2 linked regions of the Cricetulus griseus genome follow. The protein of the gene in region 1 purifies or fractionates together with the protein of each later gene. This does not show direct contact. Links are inferred from orthologs where the notes say so. Each region holds a gene or a part of one and is shown on either strand. Other genes may lie near its edges.

Region 1 (3,521 bases):
TGAACTAGTAACCCATAAAAAGAAAGAGATGAACAGTCTCAGAGGCTATGGGAAGGACTTTGCTGGTAAAACCATCCCACTACTAGACAGGAGGAACCCTTTCTGACAACCTGTGGAACAGATGACAAGCCTTATTTGTCTATCACTTGCCATAATCATCCATTCCCCTGTGGCTTTTGGAATGTCTGATGGTTACTTTGAGGACTGTGATACTGGGACCCCCCTTTACAGGAACAGCCCCTTTTGTGGCAGAAGGAACCTGGGTGTGGCTGTAGTGGCTCTCACCTGAGTAGAGTGACCACTGTGTCACTAGTTATACTCATTGGGCAGTGAAGTCAGTAAGAGGATCATCCCTAAGTTCAGATGGTTTATAGAATTTTTTTCAATGACTATACTGTACTTATTTATTTGGAGGAGGGAAACATGTGTCCCAGCACACATGTATTGGCCAGAGGACAGTGTGCAGGAAGTGGGAAGAGTCAGTTTTCTCCTTCCACTATGTGGGTCCTGGGAATCAAACTCAAGTTCTCAGGCTTGACTGAAAGTGCCCTTACCCACTGAGCCACCTCAAAAGCCCAGATCTGTGAACTTCTTGAATAGACTGCAAGCATGAACTGAGCTAGAGCTGAACTCCCCCATTCATATACAAGTCCTCCACAGTGCCCTCAGGATGAGGTTCTGGGCAAGCAGCTCATCCCTAACCCAGGATGACTTCTGGAAGGCAGGCAGATCGGGCTGAGGTTCACATACTGTCTGGGCCTCTAGGTTGAGGAATACCTTTACCCTCACACAACTGAAGTGCCCACTCTCCTTTTAGTAATCCCCTTAGAAAGAAATCTAAGCCATGGTGTTTTGGTTCAATAGGAAGGTATACAAACTGACCGACTCTCTCTACCCCAAATCTGAGTTCATTTTAGGCTGAAAGTCAAGAGAACTCCTCCAGAGCAACCCTTACACTGGTCCCTCTTGCCTTTTCTATCCTTCCTTTGTTTCTCCAGAATTGTTTTATATGTCTACTACCCTGGTGATGGTAGGCAAGTTTGGAATCACCTCTGCCTATTCCATGGTCTACGTGTACACGGCTGAGCTGTACCCCACTGTGGTGAGAAACATGGGTGTAGGGGTCAGCTCCACAGCATCCCGCCTTGGCAGTATCCTGTCTCCCTACTTTGTTTACCTTGGTGAGTACCACAGTGCACTGGTGGAATGGATGGGACAGAAGCTCTAAGTAGCCTCAATATGAGCTGGACACAAGCCCTATAGTTAGCAGGATGCATCCCTTACTGGGACCTTGGCTGGAGAAGAAGGCACCCATTTCAAATGGAAAGTAACTCACAGCCCAGCTGGATGAGGATGAGAAAGTGTGAGGCTTTCTATTTCATCACAAACTACAATTTCTTCATCCTAAGAAATTCTTTAGGGAGACAGTGTTCTTTACTAGAGGAGTTTCTTCTTGGAGTTAGTAGCATGAACAAGAGGTCTGACTGATGGACTGACAGTGACCATGGCGTAGAACACTTCATTTATCCAGTGTATATATAGAAGTCAGAGGACAATTTAGGGGAGTCTTAAAATTTGTTCTTTCTTTACAACATTGGATTCTGGGGATTGAACTCAGGCCACCAGGCATAGCAGCAAGCACTTTTACAAGCTGAGCCATCTCCATAGCCCCCATTTTACTTTTCAAGACAGTGGCTCACTAAGTATGAACTGGGATTGAACTTGTTCTGTAGCCCCAGAAGCCCTTGAACTTTAGCAGCCAGTGCCCTGAGAGTAGCAAGTACTTGAAAGCATGGTACGTGGCTCTAATGGGCTGCAGCACCTTGTCTAACCAGAATGCAAATCAAACTGGGACACAGCTGAAGAGATGGAGAGTTGCTTTGTCCTGGACAAGGACCTTGTTTTCTTGGGAACCCTGCAGCTTGGTGTCTCTACTCCCCTATACATTTCCCTTATCCATTGTGGACACTGCTGGACCTCTGGGCACATCTGTGCCAGGTCTAGGTTCTGAGACCCTTTAGATGCCAGACTTCACTCTAGCTGCCCAGGCTTTGGGAAACACTGAGACCAACAGGAAGGTGAGTCCATTATAGAGTCCTGAAGAAATACAGGGCCAGAATGAAACCATATCTCACTGTAACCTGGGTCCTCTGTTTGACTGCAGGTGCCTATGACCGCTACCTGCCTTACATCCTCATGGGAAGTCTGACCATCCTGACAGCTATCCTTACCTTGTTCTTCCCAGAGAGCTTTGGTGTCCCTCTCCCAGACACCATTGACCAGATGCTAAGGATCAAAGGGTAAGACACCTTCCTCCTAACACTAGGGGTGCACTGAATCTGGGCCTGGCCAGGTCTTAGGGATCTGCACACTGTCTCACAAATAAGTGGACTACTTTAACCATGGTGCTATGAGGGCATTGGCCTGATCTGTGTAAATCAGTGACCATGTGCATGGCCATGAAAGCAGCAGCTCTAGTTTACTGCAAAGACTACAGCAAACTTCAGTATCTGCCATTTCCTTGTTTTTCTCCAGATCTGGCTTGTTTTGACACTGATAGGTATCTTTGTACAATTTGTAAGTAACATTGTTTTGCTTGTTTTAATAGAATAAAACAATGGCAAAGCCAAAACCAGACAAGGATGCTAAAGGATGGTGAAGAAAGCCCAACAGTCCTAAAAAGCACAGCCTTTTAACCCTCCAGGAGATGAAAAACAGACAACCTGCATGTTGTCAGAAACACTGTCAATGACCAGGGGCTTTTCTGTTCTGTTGACCTTGTGTTTAATGTGCTCGTGGATGGGTGCATCTGTCCTGGAGAGCCACCTTCCTCTAGGGACATCAAGACTAACCACAGACAGCTTGCACATCCATTCCAGTGGTGGCCTTGGCCCTTCCAAAAAAGTTTCTTAAACCAGTGGGACTTGGAAGACTATGTGAAACAACTGCTAGTCTTGCTTTGTTATTTTAGAAGACTGGTAAGGTTGCACAGATAGAACTGCAGGTCTGTTTTTCCCTCCTCTCCGTAACTGCAAACTCTCAGGAAATGGAATAGATGTCACTCAGTGGCAGTGTGCTTGGCTAGGATACACAGGGCCCTGAGTTCCATGCAAAGAACCAGAAAGAAACAAAACTTCTTCAGAGAAGAATAAATGATTCCATGGGGAGTTTGATTTCTCATCTTTTCTAAGTTACAAAAACCCTTGCTGTGATTGCTTTAACTCACAACAGAAGACCACAGGACCTAGGGAACCATAGAGGAAATGAAGGTGGAAGGAGATATGTAAAGTCAGCAGTGTGTGGATTGTGGCTGCTCAGTCCCACAGCAGGAGTGCTGTGTGTGTCTGGTCAGACTCCTGGGCTTGTCCCGACTGTGAGAAATCACTGTTGACGCCAAGGCTTGTCTTCCACTTCTGTGTCTTGAAGGGAATGTATGAGTGACAAAGTGTCCCTTCCTTCTCTCAGCACTGTCACAGGGGTTTGTTTTTTTTTGTCATCTGTTGTATCTTCAGCAGAGACTT
Region 2 (2,142 bases), on another chromosome or scaffold:
ATAGGGAAAGGCATGTCTGCAGAGCAGGGGAGGCAGCAGTGTAGAGGGTGGGCCACCAGGCCAAGCCTGGGAAGGTGTGAAGAGAAGAGGCATTGCAGCCTGCAGTCTGAACGTATCATGTATTGACAGAAAGTTGCAGGTGAGCTCTATGGACCTCTCATGCTGGTCTTCACACTGGTCGCCATCCTCCTCCATGGGATGAAGACTTCTGATACCATTATCGTAAGCAGGACACAGGCCTTGCGGAAGGGCGGGTAGCTGATGTAGGCTGAAAACTGCCTGAGAATATGGTGGTGGAGTGAGACAGAGCAGCCCTTTCAGAAAGCGGTGGGTGAGGCTGAGATCAGAGGTGTCTTAGCCCTAAGCAGAGCCTTCACCCCACAGCGTGAGGGCACCCTGATGGGCACAGCCATTGGCACCTGCTTCGGATACTGGCTGGGTGTCTCGTCCTTCATTTATTTCCTTGCCTACCTGTGCAATGCCCAGATCACCATGCTGCAGATGCTGGCACTGCTGGTAAGGAGCCGAGCCCAGGAGTGGGCAGGGGTTAGCCTAAGATCAGTGAGGTGTGGTCTGAGACCCTCCAGGGATCTGTGGACTTGGGATGAGAGGAGCAGGCCAGAAGACCCCACCGAGGGCCAAAGGCCACTCCAGCCCAAGTGACGATCCTCTCATCTCTCTCCCCAGGGCTATGGTCTCTTTGGGCACTGTATTGTCCTGTTCATCACCTATAACATTCACCTTCATGCCCTCTTCTACCTCTTCTGGCTGCTGGTGGGTGGGCTGTCCACCCTGCGTATGGTAAGCTGAGCAGGTTTTGCTGTCCACCCCACAAAGGACTCTACACAGTTCTGCCCTGGGCATCTTCTCCATCCTTCACTTTGAAAACAGTGAACTGTTTTCTGAACTGTATACCTGTGGCTCTAGGTGGCAGTGTTGGTGTCAAGGACTGTAGGCCCCACCCAGCGGCTGCTCCTTTGTGGCACACTGGCTGCTCTGCACATGCTCTTTCTGCTCTATCTGCATTTTGCCTACCACAAGGTGGTAGAGGGTGAGTGGCAGGAGGGGCCTGTGTGGGGGAGTGGGCTGGATGAGCTGCCCTGGGGGCCTGCCTAACCAGTTCTCACTCATCCTCCATCTTTCTCCTTTAGGGATCTTGGACACCCTGGAGGGCCCCAACGTCCCACCCATGCAGAGGGTCCCTAGAGACATTCCTGCTGTGCTCCCTGCTGCCGGGCTCCCTGTCACTGTGGTCAATGCCACTGCAAAGGCAATAGCAGCGACCCTGCAGTCACACTGACCTCCCTGAAATCCTTGGCCATCCCTGACTGCCCAGCTCTGGAGGAAGACTAAAGGACAGTATACTGAGGACATGTGTCTCTTTGATGAGGTCTGCAGCAACCACTGAGCCTTTGCTGCCTAAACACCTGCTTGGCACCGGTCTTGGCTTCTGAAAGGCACAAGGCCAAGGAGTCCTGGCCAGGACTGCAAGCCTCTGCAGCCAGGTGCAGAATGTGGGTCAGCTCTTCTGAGGCCCTCACCACCTACCCCTTTTCTCTCCCTTCTCCTCTTATACTGCTAAATATAGACTTGGTAATTAAAATATTGATTGAAGTCTGGAACTACAGCTCCTGTTCCAGCCATTCTCCTGCCACCCTACTTCTGATACAAATTTCTGTTCTGTCAGCAGTGGTAATGTCATATGCCTGCTGTCCCTTCCTTCAGGCAGGCCCCAAGCGTGAGAGCCACAGTCCTCACATATGTATACCAGTCTGAAGTCTAGACTGACTGTACTTTTGAGAAGCCAATGCAGCAATGACAAATGAACAAAAATTTCCACTTACATCATTACAGGGACCTTGTGTACCTGGACCACATAGAGCTGGCATTTGAAGCCAAACATGGTTTTATTGAGGCTTTAGTTTTCTTTTTCTTTTCTTTCTTTCCTCCTCCTCCTCCTCTTCCTTTTTTTTTTTTTTTTTTTTTTTTTGAGACAGGGTTTCTATGTATTGTTTTGGAGGCTGTTCTGGAACTAGCTCTGTAGACCAGGCTGGCCTGGAACTCACATAGATCCGCCTGCCTCTGCCTGGCGAGTGCTGGGATTAAAGGCATGTGCCACCAATGCCTGGCTAGGCTTTAGTT

Evidence for each region. Proteins that work in one complex are often made in the same cells at the same time.
Region 2: the proteins of solute carrier family 22 member 5 (region 1) and Yipf3 purify together in Homo sapiens (co-immunoprecipitation; 3 studies listed by BioGRID and IntAct, counting the BioPlex papers as one, with this or other methods). This does not show direct contact. The link is inferred for Cricetulus griseus from reciprocal best matches to the Homo sapiens genes SLC22A5 and YIPF3.

The regions. Positions count from the first base shown.
Region 1 is NC_048600.1:68,012,647-68,016,167, reverse strand, and holds part of solute carrier family 22 member 5, read left to right. Parts: intron 1-998; coding exon 999-1,181; intron 1,182-2,164; coding exon 2,165-2,300; intron 2,301-2,608; coding exon 2,609-2,696; 3' UTR 2,697-3,521. UniProt on the Homo sapiens protein: Sodium-ion dependent, high affinity carnitine transporter. Involved in the active cellular uptake of carnitine. Transports one sodium ion with one molecule of carnitine.
Region 2 is NW_023276806.1:255,718,267-255,720,408, forward strand, and holds the end of Yipf3 (protein YIPF3), read left to right. Parts: intron 1-129; coding exon 130-222; intron 223-384; coding exon 385-516; intron 517-687; coding exon 688-801; intron 802-927; coding exon 928-1,051; intron 1,052-1,151; coding exon 1,152-1,300; 3' UTR 1,301-1,622; downstream 1,623-2,142. UniProt on the Homo sapiens protein: Involved in the maintenance of the Golgi structure. May play a role in hematopoiesis.